Linked DNA regions of Nothobranchius furzeri. The protein of the gene in region 1 binds, or shares a complex with, the protein of each later gene. Links are inferred from orthologs where the notes say so. Each region holds a gene or a part of one and is shown in the gene's direction. Other genes may lie near its edges.

What was found. Proteins that work in one complex are often made in the same cells at the same time.
Region 2: the proteins of bmp2b (region 1) and rgma are in contact, whole or in part, in a crystal structure (PDB 4UHY), measured with the Homo sapiens proteins. The link is inferred for Nothobranchius furzeri from reciprocal best matches to the Homo sapiens genes BMP2 and RGMA. Residues at the interface, in NP_001191.1 of Homo sapiens: Val308, Gly309, Trp310, Asp312, Trp313, Met371, Tyr373, Leu374, Asp375, Glu376, Lys383, Tyr385, Met388; in NP_064596.2 of Homo sapiens: Arg91, Arg94, Gly95, Leu97, His100, Ser101, His104.
Region 3: the proteins of bmp2b (region 1) and hjv are in contact, whole or in part, in a crystal structure (PDB 4UI1), measured with the Homo sapiens proteins. The link is inferred for Nothobranchius furzeri from reciprocal best matches to the Homo sapiens genes BMP2 and HJV. Residues at the interface, in NP_001191.1 of Homo sapiens: Phe331, Pro332, Ala334, Asp335, Leu337, Asn341, Ile344, Val345, Leu348, Ser351, Val352; in NP_001366281.1 of Homo sapiens: Leu40, Asn43, Tyr46, Val47, Tyr86, Leu101, Ala102, Ser105, Ala106, His108, Gly109, Ile110, Asp112, Leu113.
Region 4: the proteins of bmp2b (region 1) and bmpr1aa are in contact, whole or in part, in a crystal structure (PDB 2QJ9), measured with the Homo sapiens proteins. The link is inferred for Nothobranchius furzeri from reciprocal best matches to the Homo sapiens genes BMP2 and BMPR1A. Residues at the interface, in NP_001191.1 of Homo sapiens: Lys297, Pro330, Phe331, Pro332, Leu333, Ala334, Asp335, His336, Ser339, Asn341, Ile344, Val345, Leu348, Asn350, Ser351, Val352, Asn353, Ser354; in NP_001393490.1 of Homo sapiens: His66, Cys67, Pro68, Asp69, Ile77, Thr78, Asn79, Phe83, Ile85, Cys100, Met101, Lys102, Glu104, Gly105, Phe108, Gln109, Asp112, Arg120, Ile122.

What each region holds. Positions count from the first base shown.
Region 1 is NC_091742.1:22,692,695-22,698,065, reverse strand, and holds the start of bmp2b (bone morphogenetic protein 2b), read left to right. Parts: upstream 1-2,145; 5' UTR 2,146-2,323; intron 2,324-3,100; 5' UTR 3,101-3,113; coding exon 3,114-3,468; intron 3,469-5,371. UniProt on the Homo sapiens protein: Growth factor of the TGF-beta superfamily that plays essential roles in many developmental processes, including cardiogenesis, neurogenesis, and osteogenesis. Induces cartilage and bone formation.
Region 2 is NC_091744.1:69,273,667-69,278,557, reverse strand, and holds the end of rgma (repulsive guidance molecule A), read left to right. Parts: intron 1-1,300; coding exon 1,301-2,002; 3' UTR 2,003-3,958; downstream 3,959-4,891.
Region 3 is NC_091745.1:60,116,441-60,121,943, forward strand, and holds the end of hjv (hemojuvelin), read left to right. Parts: intron 1-1,925; 5' UTR 1,926-1,959; coding exon 1,960-2,053; intron 2,054-2,583; coding exon 2,584-3,095; intron 3,096-3,714; coding exon 3,715-4,338; 3' UTR 4,339-4,570; downstream 4,571-5,503. UniProt on the Homo sapiens protein: Acts as a bone morphogenetic protein (BMP) coreceptor. Through enhancement of BMP signaling regulates hepcidin (HAMP) expression and regulates iron homeostasis.
Region 4 is NC_091752.1:44,599,443-44,604,361, reverse strand, and holds part of bmpr1aa (bone morphogenetic protein receptor, type IAa), read left to right. Parts: intron 1-1,210; coding exon 1,211-1,373; intron 1,374-1,641; coding exon 1,642-1,744; intron 1,745-2,171; coding exon 2,172-2,271; intron 2,272-2,353; coding exon 2,354-2,441; intron 2,442-4,919. UniProt on the Homo sapiens protein: On ligand binding, forms a receptor complex consisting of two type II and two type I transmembrane serine/threonine kinases.

The sequences.
Region 1 (5,371 bases):
TCCGCATACGTCACACGTCACTTGACCTGGAAGCAGAAAATTCATGTGTTAGGAGATCGTTTTGGGCTGCTGTAATAAAAAAGCGAGACGCAAACCGGAAAAACTTCTGACGATCACAATTCGACAACGGATTATGAAAGAACGGATAACGTTCAAAATGTGCGGATTCTTCCTGATGTAAGAGATGAGTCTCCATTTTGTTTTGGTTGTTTTGGTTGTTTTGGCGTTGGCATCATCGTGGAGCGCACTGTTCTGTGACTCTTCCAAAAAACTTTGAAAACTCTAAAAAATGCTGGCAGTGAAGGGCTTCTCTGACCAGGAAACGGCTGGCAGTGAATGAGTTAATAATTAAGAAGCTGACAGAACCATCAAGGTTCAAAATTGTGTTGAAAACCATCCAATTTATTTTAAAATCACAGAAATCAATTTGTATTTATGTTTAGTAGGCCGGTCCAAACTAATCTCTGTTTCACCAAACTAAGGCTGTTCAAAGAACAGTCTACAGACTATTACTGTAAATATAAAAATAAGACATTTGTAGTTATTTCTTTCTTTGTTTTATGTATTTATCTTTACAAAAACCAACGAGAGTTCAAAATAATGGTCAGTTACGACATTGCCACAAAACGTTCAGTCTTTATCTTATTCCACTGATTCATAATAATTCTTAAAATACAAAATGGTTTCACTCGTGAAGCAAAGGCATACATATTTAGACCTTCCGTTGAAGGGGTTTCAGGTAATGGCAAAGAAATGTCAACAGGTGCGCCATATTGGACGGATGACGTCAGCTGGGAAGAGCTGCAGGTTTAACAGGTTAAAAGCAGTTTAGGGTTTACATTTTTCAAATGAATTGATTTTTTTTCTTATCCGTGGCAACAAACCTCAAGTTTGATCATTTAGAAACTTGATAGTTAATTAACACAACTGTCCTTTAAAAGTGATAAAAAATGATATTTTGTTCATATAACAGGAAATTAAGAGGTTGAAAGGAATTGGTTTCGTCATATTTATTACAAATTAACCCTTTGATGCATGAATTATGAAATCTTCAACCATGATTTTTTAAACTTTTTTTTCATTCATCTGTAGGTGTGAATGAAACAAATTTCAGCAAATATTATTTGTAGTATTTTGTTAATTTACAAATAATTTATTACATGTCCATCTCAGGGGACAGCGTGCATTCTGAACACGAAATATGTTGGCTTGACTTACTGAAGTCCAAATGAAGGAGCTCAATTGCAATAAAGTCTTCAACAGCTGTAAAATAAACAAATAACAATTTTGAATACCTGTCCACTGTATAGTGACCATTATGCATCAAAGGGTTAATGTAAAATTATATGATGAAGCCTGTTTATTCTTTCTATTTGGTTGATTTAAGTAATTCCTTAATAACGTGTTGTGTTTGCTAAAAGGAAAAAACTGTTAATAACTGCAAATGTCCCACATAGTTCATTTTTCTCACTACATTTTGCATTTTGATCATTGGCAACCTTTTGAATCTCAAATGCACTGAATCTATTTTGGCAAAACAAACAAACAAAAGTACTTGTTTGTCAAAAGAAGCAAACAAAAAGTACTTTTTTTTCTTCAAATATGCTGAGTACACATTCTGAGGGGAAATACTTGGTTAAAAATTGTAGTAATAAACTCAGCTCATAAACTCCTGCCAGCTCTTCCACCTGTTCTTGGTGGTCCTGTTACAGATTTTAATCCAAATCACATTTGTAGATGTTTGCTGAAGGGGAGAGGAATAAAGTTTAAACAGTTTTCCATTGTGAAGTTAGAAATGAGGGATTTTTCTCCTGCGGGAGTTACGCACAGGAAGTGGTGCGGTTTGGACAGATGACTGACAGCCCAGTGACATCACTGTAGGACAAAAAGCGTCGCAGGGGAAAGAGAAGGCACCAATCAATAGACCCGCTCCGGAGAGCTCTCCCTCTCCGAGCACCAACTTCACTGCGCTCATCTCTCCACGAACATCGCGCGACGCTCCACGTTTCTCCACTTTCAGCTTTTCTTTTTTCTAATTTTAAAAATGTCCAGACAAGCTTCCTCGCACTTAGTTCGGCTATGCCTGCGCGCAGCCGCTTCCTCGTAGACTTAATTTTTCTACTTTTTTTCTTTCCTCTCCGGACTGAGCAAGACCCGAACCCGACGCGCAGCTGGTGAGAATATGTGCGAGAAGCGATCGGCGGAGGGCGCGGGCTGTTTTCGGTCCCCCAAGCAGAAGCAGCGTGGATTAAACACGAATTAATGTGGAATTTATCGGAGCTTAAAGGTGGAACGACGACCGGACACCGCGCGTTCTCGTCAGGTAAATCGCTAGAATAAAGAATAACCATCGATGTGGAGGTTTTAACCTGAATCCGCACTTGGACTGAACACAGAAAGGTCACTTCACAAGTGACAGCTCATTTGTTTCTAATAATAAATTCGTGCGTAAAGCCTCCGCCTGTTGAGCCACGGAGAAACAGAAAATGAAAATAGAGGTAAAAGTTGTCTGTGTGGAAGTTGTTTGACTCCGTCTGTGTTTCTGATGCCTGGCTGTGGGGCACACGTCAGATCTAACACCTGCAAGCCTCTTGAAGTAACTATCCTTTATGATTACATGCAAACAGCGCGCAGTGGGACTGGAACTGATGCGTGTTCTTCCTTTGATCCTTCTCTCTGCATGGACTTTCATATCTGCAACAAGATCTCTTATCTCTTCTCGCTGGAGACCTTTTGTCTGCAGCGTTTCCCTTCAAATCCTTTGATTTGTCTGTTTAATCCACCTCTGTCATTAGTTTTTCACCTTGATATTTCATGTTAGGGTTCATGTTCAACCCAAACTAGAGGAGCAGTTTAGCCTCTGGGTTTTTCTTTCTTTCTTTCTTTCTTTCTTTCTTTCTTTCTTTCTTTCTTTCTTTCTTTCTTTTTCTTCTGCACTTCAAAGTGAAGAGGTGTCTCCCCCTTTTTAACCTGCTCCCCTTCAGTTTTACGCTCTGAGGGGGGATTTGGGAACTGCTGCCGCGAGAGCCTAGCTGGGACCACCTCACGTCAATACCACATTGCCTGCCAGTGTATTGACAGAAACCAACTTTCTCCACAGGGACTGACTGATCATGGTCGCCGTGGTCCGCTCTCTCATGGTACTGATGCTCGCTCAGGTGCTGCTGGAAGGTGCTGCGGGACTCATCCCCGAGGTAGGCCGGAGGAAGTACAGCGAATCCGGGAAACAGACCCCTGAGCAGTCGGAGAGCTTCCTCAACGAGTTCGAGCTGCGGCTTCTCAACATGTTCGGGCTGAGACGCAGGCCGACCCCCAGCAAACAAGCCGTGGTGCCCCAGTACATGGTGGACCTTTACCGGATGCACTCTGCGAACGGAGACCACAGCACTAAGCGGCCCAAGAGCATGGGGAAGCACGCAGAGAGAGCCGCCAGCAAGGCCAACACGATTAGAAGCTTTCACCATGAAGGTATATATTAGTGACATACCTTTACATGTCTCTCTCAGACAGCGCAAACCTATATTTAAACATGACTCAGATCGTCAACACTGAACTTCAGAGTCTTCCCTGTTTTCTGAAGGTTTAGTCATTTACAGATGACATGCTCCGAAGGTATTTGCAACCTTAAAAAATGCTTTAACTTAAAGATTGATGCACAAAAATCACATCAAAGTTGACTTTTCTCACCTAAGCAGCAGTGCAACATTTAGACAAACATCCCTCCAGCACAGCTGTCACAGGCTTCAGAAACATCAGGGGCGGCGGTATCCCCGGGGTCATTAGTTTCTTAATAATTGATGGTGTTTGCGTGGGATTCTGAAAACTGTTTTTCCAGACACGCACCACGGGAGCAGCATAAAGGGCGGTGCGCCTGTGCGCAGGTGATAGACGTCACCCTGCAACTTCAAAAAACAACCGACATCAGAGCAACACACACGATGACGAAGTCACCGTGTCAGACTGAGTCACCTTTAACAAGACTCAAATTAGCTCTTGGTAACGCCGTAGAGGAGGCGTGGCTTCCCTTCTTCCTGTTGCTTCCAGTTGTGCATCATTACGCGTGAACCAGTTTGGAGAAGACAGCGATAGTTGAACTACAAGTCTCAGTTCAGTTGAATTTAAAAACCTATATTTAAACATGACTCATTCACCTCTCGGATGAAAATAAACGTTTTGCAGACTCTGGATCAGCTGTTAAAATGTGGATTTAAACAGTATTTTAACAAAGTAAATGATGCTTTGTTTATAACAGCTTTAAAAGCAGGAGCACTCGATGTTTACGTTTTTGTATAATAAACATCTTATTCCCGGTATAGTAGATTTGCACATCTATTTATCTTAATGTGACCCACGTTGCTGGGTCCATTGGGGCCCTGCGCAGAGTCCTCATACAGAGTCCTGTGTTTGAGTGGAGAAGTTTCTTTCCATCAGGGGTGAGTCAGAGGGGTGGTTGAGTGGTTGCTTGGGTGCTCTCCAAAGGCCTAGTGCAATGACACCAAGTGGCTACACTGACACACTACAAACAACCCTGAGCAGCAGGGTTGAGTGACTGCTCCCAGCTCACCGCTGGAAACCTCTGCACTCAGCCAACACACGTTGACATTTACACGTCTTCTCCTGGCTCTTTTCGTCCTATGCTAACAGCCGCGCGGTTATTAGGCTTCCCGTATCGCGTCGAGGGATTGTTCCCCCTGTAATAAGCACGGATCTACAGATGTTAATGCAGCACATCAAAGCAAACAGCTCCAAGCCTTCGTCACGTCTGCCACGCCATGCTCCTTTCGCTCGGACAATTGGTTTTCAGGAATAACTCGAGTCAAATAGAGCCTTTCCACCGTAGCACAGGACGCAGCTGCCAGAGATGGCCGATCCAATATTAGCATCTATCTTTTGTTTTGGCGAGTGGCACAAAAATAAAGCTGTGGAAATCTGTGGTTCGCGTGCTTTTGACAAGCATAAACTTGTTCACACAGCAGTTCCAGACCGAGATCGAGAACAGTTGCAGAAAGGAACTGAGAAAACGGTGACAGAGAAGACAAGAGAAGAGGATCTCTAAAAGGACGGAGGGGAAAGAGGGGGATTTGGGTGCTGATAAAAAACAAAAAAAGAAGAGTAGGATTGGGTGAAGAGGAGCGAGAATGAGAGAGGGGGCTTTCCCACATCAAATGAGTAGTGATGGGTCTAATTGAGGTCTTTGTGCCTCTGGAGGGGGGTTTAGGACCAGATCGTGGAATTTCCTAAATGGCTCCTTTGAACAGATAAGAGTTTGAGGTTTGCGCTACTTTGCCGCACAAACCAGATTAAACTGCATGTCTATGGCTTGTCTATGATCTGCATGAAGTAAAAGTTCAAAGCAGGGCCGCCTCAAAGC
Region 2 (4,891 bases), on another chromosome or scaffold:
TTAAGATTTTTTTGTGAAAATTTTTTAAACAATTGTCATAAAATGTAGCTGTCCATGTTTTGGTTTGCGTGCGAGTCTCCTCTTTCGTGTGGTCAGACTGTAAGCGCTGCAGTGAGTGGAACTGCTTTTCTGTCAAACTGTGGGTTCTGGTTAGTGTTTGGATCGGTTCCATAATAACAGATCGAGGCGTCCGACCCAGAAAAATCACTAAGATCCTTGATAAGCTCTACCAACGACACCGGCGGAGCGTCGAATGTTAACAAAGAGGCTCTGCTTTCACTTTAGCTCTGCCTGATGTTTGTGCTGCTCGGTCCATTACTGTCTACGGGAAACTTTCACATCTTTATCAGCAGAACGGTTTAGATGTTTTTTAGTAGAAATTGGCCTGGATTTGCTCCAGCAGTGAATGTGAAGCACTTAGGAGGTATAAAAGAACTTAATCACATTTGTAGAAACTGTAATTTTCTATAATCAGGGTTTCTTAATGACTCATTAAACATTTGTGTTATTTAGCTTTTAAAGTAATTACCTTCTTTTAAAAAGCTATTCTTGGAAGCACATGAGAGGCTTTTTTTAGTGCACAAGACTGTGGACAAAAGAGGAAACAAAGCAGCAGCAAGTGGCACCTGTGCAAACACGGCTCTGGTGGTAAAAGATGTGCTGCTGGGTAGAGTCCTCTCTCTGTGGCAGATTAATTCAGACGGGGCCATCACAGGAGCTGTTGTCCTCTATTATTTGTTTCATCCAGTCACTTTTTAAAGAAACGAGACAGGAAACAGAAGCTGAGGGAGGTGTGTGAAGGGACGGGGCTGGTTTGACACAGACATCAGAGTACGTGGCTTGGTCCTGTGACAATGGCTCCTTGGTGTCCCGTGTAACCCAGCTCGGAGAGTCCTGACCAGTCCCACTTAATTAGCTGCAGAGTATCTCGCTGTGTCCTGGCCCCGCGCCACTCCCCGGAGCATAGTTCTGGGGGTTCACAGGCAGGTTTTCCAGCGCTATGAATAGATCGTCTTTGTGTCTGCAAACTGAGGCCTGATTTTACATGGCCTGGACTCGTGTTTTTGGAGGGCGTTTACCTTGGCCTCCCCCCTCGTTGAGCCAGCCCTGTAATGTGACACTGGAGTGGGGTAGAAGGGGGGCTGAGGTGGCACGTATAGCACAAACTTGTTCTCAGTGACAAGATGAAAAAAATCTTCTCTTTTATTACGTGTTTTAGTCGTGAGTTCATGAATGCTGCTTTCACTTAGTTCTGAAGGCGAACACGTCTGATGTTTGGTGCTGCTCTCTCCTCCTGCAGCTGACGATCATCTTCAAGAACTTCCAGGAATGCGTGGAGCAGAAGACGTACCACGCCGAGACGGACGAGCTGCCTGCTGCGTTCGCCGACGGCTCCAGAAATGGTGGCGATCCAAACGGAGTCAGCACCCTGCGAGTGGTGGAGAAGGTGCCCGGGCAGCACGTGGAGATCCAGGCCAGGTATATCGGGACAACCATTGTAGTCCGGCAGGTGGGCCGCTACCTGACCTTCGCCATTCGAATGCCAGAGGAGGTTGTGAATTCGGTGGAGGAGGGTGATAACCAGGACTTGTACTTGTGTCTTCATGGCTGCCCCGCCAACCAGCGCATCGACTTCAGGAGTGTTAGAACCAGAGCGGGGGAGGCTCACAGCACGGGCAGGCCAAGGAGCAGCTCTGGGACGCAAGGCTTCACCTTCAAGTCCGCCAAGGCCAAGTGTAAAGAGCGGCTCCCAGTGGAGGATCTGTACTTCCAGTCCTGTGTGTTTGATCTGCTGTCCTCTGGAGACATTAACTTCACCATGGCCGCCTACTACGCCTTTGAGGATGTAAAAATGCTCCACTCAAACAGCAAGAGATACCACATCTTTGAAAAAGATGCTTTAAGCGGCGCAACACGAGAGGGCAAAAATGTACTGCTGGTCTTCCTCCTGAATGTCTTAGCTGTCCTATTGTGGACGGAGTGCTGCACAATCCATCTATAGTCGGTTTACAGCAGTGTCTTCCTGCCTTTAATGTCAGTCTGTGTCATTTCCCAGCCTCTCGCATCTGTTCTGCCTCTTGATGACTGGAGGTTTCACCCGTAGGTCAGTGCTGCCTCAAGTCTTATTTCAGTCGTCTAGTCTCATCCTGACGTCAATACAAAGACGGGCTCACCACCTATCATCACGTGTATTTAACTGGTTTTAATCTTTGAAGAGGGCAGCAGTGGGAGAGCTCTGGATATCCACCTGGGATTAAATCCCACACTCTCATCAGGGCTGCGTGCCTGTGGGAAAGCCGGACAAGATGATCTTTTGCAGAAAGAGGGGTTCGCTGATCCTCCCTTCTCCTGATCCGCACATTGGTGCCGAGCCAGGGAAGCTCTCTGTGGCTCATGTGGCTGAGCAGGAGGACCTGACAGAGGCTTTTGTTAACCTTTTAGGCCAGAAGCAGCTCTATGTTTGATTAGCTTCCAGCTTTGGAAAAGCCCGAGCCTTTCTGGAGGAAGCATCCAGCCAAAAGGATGTCATAGCAGCGTCTCCAGTTGTCTGCTGTGGAGATTAATGGGTCATATTGTTAGGTTTGTGTGTGTGTGTGTGTGTGTGTGTGTGTGTGTGTGTGTGTGTGTGTGTGTGTGTGTGTGTGTGTGTGTGTGTGTGCGCGTGTGTGCGTGCGTGCGTGCGTGCGTGCGCGTGGAATATGTGTGCAGAATCTTGCATCAGTGGTTGATTTTGTGTGTTTGTAAGTGCAGGAATTCCCTTATATATATGTATGTATGTATGTATGTATGTATGTATGTATGTATGTATGTATGTATGTATAGGGAGAAAAAAAAAAGAAACTCCAGTGGGAGAAATTTTTCTCATGTCTTTGTGCTGCACCCAAAATTTAGCCGAAGCTCGGATTTGGGCCAAGTGTGAACTAATCTAACCTCGATCGGCCAATCAAACTCTTTATAATGAACCCAAGCTGTACAGCGATGCGGGTTCCGGTGTTTCTGCCGTCAAAGACGTCACCTCTACCTGGTTAAGCATTTACAGACTTCCATTGTAGCGGGCTGACCCGAGTCTCTGTGGCTAAACAATATGTCTGGAAACATGCTTTCATGGCTTCAGTCGCTTGCCAAAGAACGCGCTCTTGTGCCAACATTTGCCTGACGAGTACATTTCCATCTCCTACCCTCAAACATTAGGACTTAGTTGTATATAACTCATGTTTGTTGGTGATTTCTCGCCGCGTGATGACGCAATACCTTCACCTTTTCTTGTGTTTGGTGTTCTCTCTCTTCCCCCTGCTGAGATACGTTTGGTCTTCCCCGGTAGACGCAGTTTTAAGATCACTTATCGATTACACTGAAGTGCACGGCAGAGTTATGCATAAACAGTCCTACAAACAGCTGATTGTGACTTTAGATATACTGTGTGTTTTAACAGTAAATGGTTGTACTATGTGAGATTGTACATACGTTTTGTGGAGTTGTGTTGAAATTTTGTATCTCACCTGTTGTGTTTTGAATTCACCACTCCAGTTTTTGTACACAAAAAGAGAATCTTTCAGTGAATGTGAGCCTTTTATGTTTTCTTTTTAAAAAAAGGGACTTTTAATTTGAATTTTTTTTAAATTGTTTTCAACAACATGAACGCCACAGAACAGATCAGTCTCCACTGTTATTGGTGAATCGATGACACACACTTAAAAAAAAACAACCCACCTTAACTCGGAAAAAGAGAATGTAGGGAAATGTTTTAGTGGCGCTCATGTTTTTGAGTTTAAAGCACTTTATGTTTTTTATTCAGCTGTTTTTGTTTTGAGCATGTGTTGGTTAAAAAGAGTAAAATAAAAGGCTGAATGGGAAAAGCAAGAAAGATCAAACAGTTTAATGTAAATATCATGTGGTCCCTCATGCCAGCTGTTGGTATTGTAAGTTATTTATTGAATAAAAGACAACATCATGTGAATGAGCTGCTGCCTGTGTCTCCTGCATCTTTAGAACAAAATCAGTTTTTTTTATAACTTGCAGTTTTTTACTGCCCCCTGGTGGACCTTTGTGTTAAAACAAAAATTAAGACTCCTTGAAGAATTGAACATTTATATATACACTGTTCAAAAAATAACAATAAAGGGAATACTTCAACAACACAATGTAACTCTATGTCAGTCACACTTCTGTGATATCAAACTGTCCACTTAGGAAGCAAAACCGACACAATCAGTTTCACATGCTGTTGTGCAAACGGAAAAGGCAACAAATTATAGGCAATTAGCAAGAGATCCCCAATAAAGGAGTGCTTCTGCAGGTGGTGACCACAGACCACTCCTCAGTTCGTATGATTTCTCGCTCATGTTTTGGTTCACTTATGAGTGCTGGCGGTCCTTGCACTCTAGTGGCAACATGAGTCTACAACCCACACAAGTGGCGCAGGTAGCGTCCAGAGCATGGAGGCGCTACCAGGAGACAGGCCAGTACATCAAGAGATGTGGAGGAGGCCATTGGAGGGCAACAACCCAGCAGCAGGACTGCTACCTCTGTTTTTGCACAAGGAGGAACAGGAGGAGCACTGCCAGAGCCCTGCAAAATGACCTCCAGCGGGCCACAATGCATGTGTCTGATGAAACGGTCAGAAACAGACTCTGTGAGGGTGGTTTGAGGGCCCAACATTCATATGTAGAGTTGTGCTTACAGCCCAACACCGTGCAGGATGTTTAGCATTTGCCAGAGAACACCAAGATTGGCAAATTGGCCACTGGTGCCCTGTGCTCTTCACAGATGAAAGCAGGTTCACACTGAGCACATGTGACAGACATGACAGAGTCTGGAGATGCCATGGAGAGCTGCAATATCCTCCAGCATGACTGATTTGGCAGTGGGTCAGTTATAGTGTGGGATGGCA
Region 3 (5,503 bases), on another chromosome or scaffold:
GGTGAAAACAAACGCATTAGAGTATAAAGATTCCTTAAGCCTAAGATATAAATAACAGTCATTCCAGACGTGTGTATTTTTAAGTTGTGTGTGTGTGTGTGTGTGTGTGTGTGTGTGTGTGTGTGTGTGTGTGTGTGCGTGCATGCGTGCGTGTGTTAAATTTAGCCTTCACACACAGCCGTTCCAACATGTTAACCCTAAATGACTGAACTGATCAGATCTAAGATCAGCTCATTGCTGATTAAATCGTCTGATGTCTGGAGCAGAAACATCAGAAATGCCACCATTTTACTCCTGTCATGATTCATTTGTTAACATAATGATTTACTGACATCACAATGTCTGATACTTTTCCAGCAGCCCAACTTCCTGTAACCCTTTAACCCTGGAGCATCAGTATTAGTACATTCACCAGCAGCCTGCCATATCCCATACCAAAATGAATGAAAACACCTTAATTGATGGACAAAACCAAGACAGAAGGAAAGGTTTCTGGGTTAAAATTTAAAGAGAGCTCTTTGACAATCCAGGTTGGATCTAAAATCTGGTTTCCTGATGTTCTGTTTTCTCTCTTGATTGGATTAAATTTATTATTCCTAAATGTGGAAATCCTATTTTTATGAGCTGAAAAAATAAAAGTGCAGAAAAAAAACGAGTTTTAATCAATAAGATTTCATCCACACGCCTAAAACGAGACACAATGTTGAAACTCATCTGAAGTAAAACACTGAAACAAATCTTCATCTGATGAATCAAACGTTCAAAATCAAACAAACTTTTTTAATTTAATACAGTTAGTTTTGAATCTTTTTTCTGTTAGAAGTCTGAAGGTTGAACCAATCGTTGTGGGGAATCACTCTAAGCCCTGCCCCTCGCTGCTGATGTTTGTTCTACAGATAAAAAATCAAAACAGGCAAAAGTCCAACTGTGAATGACACAGAACCTTTAAAGTCCAGGGGTCTTATTTATAAAACATTGTGTAAAATCCTTACTAAAACTGTACTTGAGCTCAGCAAAAAAGATTTACTTACGCCTAGTAGGTTTGTGACCTATAAAACATGGAGTACACACAGCTGCACACAATCTCTGCTTTATAAATCACTAACTACCGAGAAATGTGCTCCGGTGTTTTTGGATCACATCCCGGGGTCTTGTTCTGTGTGTGCATGAAGCGGTACAAGTGGTAATGCTGCTGGAATTCACAATGTTATCCTTCTCAGCAGCAGCACTGCAGGTGCCCTCCATGTCCAAAATGTGCGTAAGCCAGGTCCTTAGTCAACTTAAAGTTGCGCACATTTTTCCGCTACGTTTTCTTTTATAAATCCCAAAGTTTGCATAGAAAGTTGCTTGCATAGATTTCTGACCCCGTTTTGCGTGTAAGCAAGCTTGATAAATGAGGTCCCAGCACAGTTTCAGCATCATGCTGCAGCTGGAAGATCAGACTGATGGTAAATGAGTCATGATTTCAGATAGCTTGTCCTCTCAGTGCTTCAGATCTCCAGGAACGTTCTCCTGGGAAAGCTTCCTGAAGCTGAAGTTCCTCATACATGTGGATCATCTATTCGGCTGGAAATTGGAGACGTTCCTGCTTCTAACAGCTGATCAGAGGCAGCTAATGGCCTCAGATGAATCTAATTCTTCAGAAATCAAACTTCTATTGTGATGACTTCAAACCTGCTGCAGTAAATTCAGATAAAACCAGACTGACAGTGAATGATGACCTCAGATAAACGGTTCTGATGGACCACAGAACACTACTTCCACTCCATCTGTGATTCATACTGATGAACAGCCGGGGAGGAGGCAGGAAGCATCATCTGTCTCAGAATTTTCTATGATAGGAGTAGCTCATTAACACCTGGAGGGGAGGGGGAGGGGATTCACACGCAGGTGAGTGTAACATTGTGTGTGTGTGTTTTTTCCAGAGTTCTCTCCTCTCAACCTGTCGTCGGCCTGCTGATGGAGTCACAGGCAGTGTTAAGAGTTGTCCTGTTACCATGGAAACCCTGCATCCACCTGACTTTGCTACTGGTCCAGCTGAGTCTACCTGAAGGTACACACACACAACTTCCTGATTCTAGGAATTTTACTGTGCCTTCACAGGAAGTGAGACGTCAGAATTGAGAAAACTAAGAAAGCAGATTTGAACCAGCAACCTTCCCTCTGAGGGTTGTAGCGTTATCAAGATCCTATTGTCTGCCCTTAACAGCTGCCCCTTCACACAGTAACATCGACAAGGTCGGACGCTTGGTTCAGTATGTTTACATTCCAGGAGAAGAGACAGAAGAAGAGAAGAAGAACGCTTTCCATTGATTAATCAAAGTACTTTATTTATGATAAAGCTAATCAGAGCATATGTTGATCATTAATAATCAGGTGAATGATCTGTGAAATAAAGATGTCATGAGTTATGTGTTTAATGAATAAACAGGACTGCTCTGATTAGCTACAGATGTCTCAGGAGCTGGAATATGGATTCTTCAAAGTAAAAGCCTTTATCCAAAGAGCATGTTCTTTTATTTTGAAGGAGAATTTCTTTAATCAGCAACTCAAGTTAAATCAAACCTTTTTTCCCCTCCTCAGTCAGAGCTTCCTGCCACATTCTGAGGTGCAACTCAGAGTTTGTGGCAGCGACCTTTGACCTGAGCAGTGGCGGCGGTTCAGCTGTCAGCAGGGAGGTGGTGAACGCCGGCTACTGCAGCGCTCTGCGCACCTATGCCATATGCACCAAGAAGATGGCCCGGCCATGTCGAGGTGACCTGGCATATCACTCTGCAGTTCAGGGCATCGAGGATCTGCTGATCCAGCATCACTGCCCCAGGGTGGGGCCCACGGCCCAGCCACGGCCTCTGCCTCAGGGCACACTGTCAGCAGACACCTGCTTGTACGAGAAGAGCTTCTACAGCCGAGAGGGCCGGTTGCCAGAGTTCCTGCACTGCAGCGTGTTTGGAGACCTGCACATTAGAACTTTCGACAACGACTTCCACACCTGTGCTGTGCAGGGGGCGTGGCCTCTCATAGATAATGAGTACCTGTACATACAGGCCACCACCTCACCAGCAAGAGGGGAGGCGTACCCCACAGTTCTGACCAAGGTGAGCCAAAGTTATCATTAAAAAATGGGTTTTCAGTTAACCACACCTTTAAATGCTGTGCATTTTACCCCATTCAGCCATTGTATTAAAGTACAGAAATATAATATTACTTGCCAAAAAAATGGAGCATAGTTGTTGCATGCACGATCAGACCATGCCCATTGGGCAAAAAATGCAGAATTAACATCCGAGCTCAAATGCATAAAGGACACAACTAATGATAAAGTTCAGATAATCAAAATGGCTGAACATTTTTCACTTGAGGCTGAGGCCTTCCATGGAGCTAGCTGCTAATGCTAACTCTGAATTTGTTTCTTGTGTGTGAAGCTAAAACCTCTTTAAAAGCGTTTTTCATGAGGAAACAAGAATGTAACATAGTCATTGGCTCCAAAAAGTAGATTTTGCATGATATAGGACCCTTTTAAGTCCTGATCTGGTCCAAAAATTCTGATCCAGTTCAGGAGATACTCCTATAAGCATTTGAAGCATCTAGATCCAAAGTTCTAACACTATTTTGGTTTCTAAAAAATAACCAACAGAATTCTGATCCTGCGTGATGATCAACCACCACCACGGAAAGCACTGATGTTTGTTGATCATTGGTTTTGTTTCTTGTCAGATCACTGTCATCTTTAAGAACTGGCGCCAGTGTATCGATCAGCAGCTGTACCAGGCGGAGTTGGACAACGTTCCTGCTGCGTTCGCTGACGGGTCGGTGTGGAGTGGCGAGCGGCGGGGTCACCGCAGCCTGACGGTTCGGACCGAAAGTCCAGGCCGTCACACAGAGATTCGAGCGGTTCACATCGGCACACTGGTGGTGGTGCGTCAGAGTGGACGCTCTCTCAGCCTCTCAATCCGCTCACCGCGGGAAATCGTGGATGCTTTTGGACCCGATCATGACCTGCAGCTGTGCATGTGGGGATGCCCCGCCTCTCAGAAGCTCAACACACTCCGCCCCCCTCTACTGAACTCTTTGGCACCTGCTGCTGTCAGTGCTGAAGACCACTGTGCATTGCTGCTTCCTGCCCAAGATGTTTACTATCAGGCATGCGTGTTTGACCTGATCACCAGCGGAGACCTGAACTCCAGTATGGCCGCCGTCAGCGCGCTTCAGGACGCCAGAAACATGATCTCCAACAAGGAGAGGGTTCACCTGCTTCCTGCCTCTCATGCAGGAAATACAAATCCATGTGTGATGCTGCTCCTGCTGCTTGGCATGCTGGGAGTTGTGGGCGGGGCCTAGACAGAGCCCACGGCCTGCTGAGAAGGTGATGAGGTTCTAGGAGCTGCTGAGACAGACAGCGTATTGTTTTCTGAGCTGCAGGTTCTGGTTCAGAAAATCTCAATGACTCACTGTGTCGCCAACTCTCCGTCATCATTTGATCTTCCGACGGAAGAAAGTCAAAAATATTTTAGATTAAATTAGCTGTGAAACGGTGCGAAACAGGGCCGAACAAACCAATTCAGTAATCTTTAGTTTTGTGTTTCCCACGGGTGAAGAGATCAGGTAGACCTGCTCTAGGTGTGTTACGGTTAACCCGGTGGAAGGAGTAACACTTGGTGGTTCGTCTGCCTGAGCTCAAATAAAATCTGTGTCATGTTGAATCAGAATTCATACAAAATGTATCCGTCCTCACTTAGATGCTGCAGTTCCTCACTAAGGTGCTTCAGAGAATCATTGGGTCAGGTTCTAACTGGTTTGCTGGTTGAGACTGGATCCAACTGGTTCTAATTGGATCTAGCTAGTTATGACTCGGTCTAACTGGTTCTAGGTGGTGTTAACTAGGGCATGCAGACTTTAGCTAGGAGGTGTGTTGGCCTGGGAATTTACTTGCTTTTTGACCTCGCGCTGACGCAGGCAGCAGGCTGCATCTTGATCACGTACTTGCTGCTGCACTACATGTAATGTTGGAGTTTTACACTAGGGGACAGAGTAGAGAACTCAGACCAGATAAAATCTCGGGCTTATAGGGTACAACCAAAACAAACATGGTGTCAATACATTGTAATAAATTGTAGGCCAGAATAAGTCAAAAGCAAAAGTTCATCACCTGCCTTAAAAACTTGAGTCATGTCAGTTTAAATGAACACTGAACAAAGCAAAAACTAAGGACAACACGACCGCCCACAATAAATGGGCATAAACACCTCAAATTAGAACAAAATAACTAAGAAAATGACTACCCACAATGCACCTCACCCAATGCAGCTTTCACAGTGGGCAGGGGCATTTTTTAATCTATAAATTGCAGTTTTAAGTTGACTGAATGCACGAGAATGAGGAAAATATAATCATCTGTTGAAAAAATCAAGCAATTTTAAGTTTTCATTATCAAAACACACAAAATTGAGTTCAACAATTAAAACTTATCAGGGAGACTTAGGTGAAATAGGAAAAATAAATTGAA
Region 4 (4,919 bases), on another chromosome or scaffold:
TTTCAATGTATATTAGCGTTGTGCTAACCACTCGCTGCCAGTCAAATAGCAGCCATTGTGAGTAGAAAATCTCCTTTTGTCACATCTCAATTTAATTGTATATGCAAGTAATCATTCAGCCCTAACTGAATTTGAGGAGAAATCCTGCAAATATTAACAGAAATATCCATGAAGACTAAATGATGGAAGATTCTTCTTTAGACAAGGGAAGATGATCCATGATCCCTTCAGCGGGCTTTTAAAACTCATAAAGGAACGTTTGGAACAGCTGAGGAGGATTGTTTTTGATGGGACGTCAGTTTGGCATTATTTAAAAGATTTTATTTGCAGACGATGACTCAGTGTTGGCTCTCGTAAAGTTTTTTAGTGAAATAATTCCTGGCCCAGACTCATCAGCTGCTCACATGGGGGATAAAAAAAGCTTCCCGGCTGAATTACCCAGCATGCTCTGCCAGACCTCAGTCTCCACTCTGACTAACGCTGCAATTACTTACACATGTTGACACACAAGGGAGATATTTCCAGACTCCACAGGCCCTCTTTCTTCCTGTCACTCACAGGCTCTCAGCCAATCAGGGCTCAGCGTAAGTCTGGTTCCTCTGTCTGGTGTGAGTTAGTCCGCTTCAATTGGAAGGAAAACACGATGGAACTGGGAAAGCTGAGAGACGACCGGGCAGTTCAGAGAGAGGGAGAGATAGAGAGAGAGAGAGAGAGAGAGAGTGTGTGTGTGTGTGTGTGTGTGTGTGTGTGTGTGTGTGTGTGTGTGTGTGTGTGTGTGTGTGTGTGTGTGTGTGTGTGTGTGTGTGTGTGTGTGTGTGTGTGTGTGTGTTTACTCTGAGGAGAGCCTTAATAAGGAAACATTTACAGAAACGTTAGTCTGGAGAAAATCACCAACCAGCACTACGAAGTACAGTTTTTACATTTTTAGTATCAGAAATAACCAGATTAGGCTTCATACTGGTTTGAACTGTGGTGCATGTGTGTGCCCTTTGACCCCTGGCTTTATGCTCCATATATGGCACTCCTCCTCTGTGCCTCCATGCAGCCTGTCATCAGCTGATAGAGGAGGAATGTTTCACCTCCTCTGATAAATCTGACTCGACTCACTGAGCTGCAGCTGTTCCACATCAAATAAAATCACCTTTAATCTGTGGGTCTGTTTGTGTGACCAGCTGTAAATCCAGTGCTGATTCCTCATTTATCCGTGCAGCCGCGGGTCAGAACCCTGACCACGTTCTGCAGGGGGTTGGTGAGAAACCTGAGGCCCGGCGTCCCGGCGAGGACTCCACCATCGCGCCTGAAGACCTCCCCCGATTCCTCAGCTGCTACTGCTCAGGTCACTGTCCTGACGACGCCGTCAACAACACCTGCCAGTGAGTAGGCACTCCATCTGAACCCAGTTGGGCATTATGGGGTGTTCTCCACTTTACTGCTGTCATTCATAAACAGAAGCAGAACAGTTAAATCCATCATACGTGTGCGATTGGATTTGTTTTTAGCTTCACAGACAAATACAAATATCAGGAAGTTATTTCTGAGCTAAATGACTCGGGGCTGAGATGCTGTTGGTCCCCCCCATGAAGTCTCAGATGAATCTGGTTGCTGGTTCAAAGCGGTGCATTAGTGCGTTTGTGTCTTCAGGACCAACGGTCAGTGCTTCGCCATCATCGAGGAGGACGAGAACGGAGATTCCCAGCTCACCTCCGGCTGCATGAAGTATGAAGGCTCTCACTTCCAGTGCAAGGTATGCTGATGTCACACACACTTCGGTGGGTTCACCTGCACAAACACAAGGTCAGATGCTGCTCAGACCTAAAGGAGCTTCAGATCTCTGCAGGCTGGAGCCATTTGATAGATTTTTTTGGCTGATATTTTTGCCTCTTGTTGCCTTTAATAAATGGATTCTGTTGGTTTTGAACGGTAACACGGTTCTTTAACCTTGGTTTTGAAACTGGAATAAGTGAAGATTTGCTGCAAAAAGTTTCTTGAAAATGGTTTCTGTTTAAAATGTGCTTTATATCATATTTATCTTTTTTATTTAATTTTTATTTTTTTATTTTTTTCAGTTTTTACAATAAATCAGTAATGATAGATGGATGTCGTCTCTGGTTGACCTGAGATGTTAAAAGAGTCCACAGATGTTTATTTTCTGCTCTCTGGTTGGATGACAGGACTCTCCCAATGCTCAGACCAGGAGGACAATCGAGTGCTGTAACACAGATTTCTGTAACGGAGACCTGAGGCCCACCCTACCGCCACAGATTAGCACCGGTAACCTGTCAGCTGATCTGAGAGCAGTGATTCAGGTAAAAATACAGCTGCAGGTTTAAGTCAATTTTGCTTGTTTCTGCAGAGAATCGCTCCCATTGGCTAGCCTTCCTCATCTCCATGACAATTTGCTGCTGCACTCTGGTCTGCGTCACCATCATCTTCTACTGCAGGTAAGAACTCACCTGGAAATGGGTTGAAAGCAGCTCTAGAAATGCTAAACGGCTTTTCACATCTGGGGAAGATGTTTTCCGTAGGGATGCACAATAGCAAAAACATTCACAAGGATTGTCTTAAACCCTGTTAAAAATCTGGTTGACGTGGAACTGATGCAGGGTTCCCGCTGGGTCTGGAATTTAGGAATTTTAAAATAAGAACTTATAAAGTCTTCAAAAAGTAATTTTCACAACTGGGTCTTAAAATGTGTGCTATATGTAAATCTGTACTGTATTTGTCCTTTTAAGTTTCATTTGTCAACCACTATCGTTTTTACTAAACGTAGCATAAATAAAATGTGGCGGAATCAATAATTGCGAACGCAGCGCAGCCTCGGGTCAAAATAGTCCGAACACGTGACGTAGTCAGCTCCCGCGCTACAGCAGTGATACAAACGGTAAACACAACCTCCAGCAGAGAAGAAACTTAGCAGACCATAAAAAAGGTTGACTGACACCTAGGGATGGGTGCCAGAACCCTGGACCTCTTTAAGGAAAAACATTTGGTTGGTACTGATATCAAAATATGTATTAATGTCCTAATGTGCCACAGCGGGTCACATGACTGATCCCAAGTCACGTTATGAGTGGAGGAGACGCGTCACCTTTCAACAAAGGAATTTCTTTAGCCTAGTGGCATCAGAAAAGCTGATGAAAAAGCCACACAAAAGAGATGAGATTGTGTGAGAACGGGTTTTAACAGCATAGTCATCAGTCATGACATCAGGTAACAACACAACCGGACAAAAGACTATAAGATTAGAACTAGACAACATCAGGCACCAAAATCGGGTTACAACATTAGGGATTAAAATCAAGTCACAACATCAGGGATTAAAATGAGGGTACAACATCAGGGACCAACATCAGGGTTTAAAATCAGTTTATAACATCAGGGATTAAAATCAGGTTACAACATCAGGGACCAACATCATAGATTAAAATCAGGTTACAACATCAACGGCTGACATCAGGGATTAAAATCAGGTTACAACATCGGGACCCAACATCAGGGTTTAAAATCAGTTTATACATCAGGGTTCAAAATCAGTTTATACATCAGGGATTAAAATCAGGTTACAACATCAGGGACCAACATCAGGTTACACAATCAGGGATTAAAATGAGATTACAGCATCAGGGACCAACATCGGGTTACAACATTAGGGACAAAAATCTGGGATTAAAATGAGGTTACAACATCAGGGACCAACATCAGGTTACAGCATCAGAGATTAAATGAGATTACAACATTACAACATCTTTTTTTTTTCCATTTATATAGCATTGTTCACAGACGCAAAAGTGATTTTGACACAAATTGCTTCACAGTAAACAGCAACAGAGCTAAATGTAACACCAGTGTTCCGTTTTTTGTCACTTAAAATGGAAACACCAGTTATTTAATAAAGCACCTCCCCGTTCATGGTGTGAGCTGAAGCATGGACCATGTTTGGCTGCGAAAGCAGACCTGACCCACGATGGCAAGGCATTTTAACATTTTATCAACAAGCACACCTATTTGTAATACCTATTTTACATGGCTGCAATATAATTAATCTTAATCTGGATTTTATTTTTTACTAGTCATAATTAAAAATGATGATATCAACAACTATTTTATACTAGCAGGAATACAATGCTCATTTACCCACATCATGTAACAACAGCATGTAACAGCTTGTAACAACAGCATGTAACATCATGTAACAACAGCATGTAACATTATGTAACAACAGCATGTAACATCGTGTAACAACAGCATGTAACATCATGTAACAACAGCGTGTAACAACAGCTTGTAACAACAGCATGTAACATCATGTAACAACAGCATGTAACATTATGTAACAACAGCATGTAACATCGTGTAACAACAGCATGTAACATCATGTAACAACAGCGTGTAACAACAGCTTGTAACAACAGCATGTAACATCATGTAACAACAGCATGTAACATTATGTAACAACAGCATGTAACATCGTGTAACAACAGCATGTAACATCATGTAACAACAGCATGTAACATCATGTAACAACAGCATGTAACATCGTGTAACAACAGCATGTAACATCGTGTAACAACAGCATGTAACATCGTGTAACAACAGCATCATTTCACACCAGTTAACCAAATCCGGAAAAGAACATATGTAATATCATCTGGTAACAACGTCAGGAAAACAACAGGACTTTTCTTGTTATCTTGAAGATGTTTTACCTCTCGTCCAAGAGACGGCTTCATGTCTAGAGCTTATTGTCAGCAGGAGTCTGCAAGTCTTATTTTTATTACTTTTTCTTTAAAAAGGGCTTCTGTGGGTACCAGTGACCAAGTTGGTGTGACTGGGTGAATGATACACTGTAGATCAAAGCGCTTTGGAGTCCTCTGGCTCTGAAAGGTCTTATACAAGTGCAGGTCATTTATCATTTACAT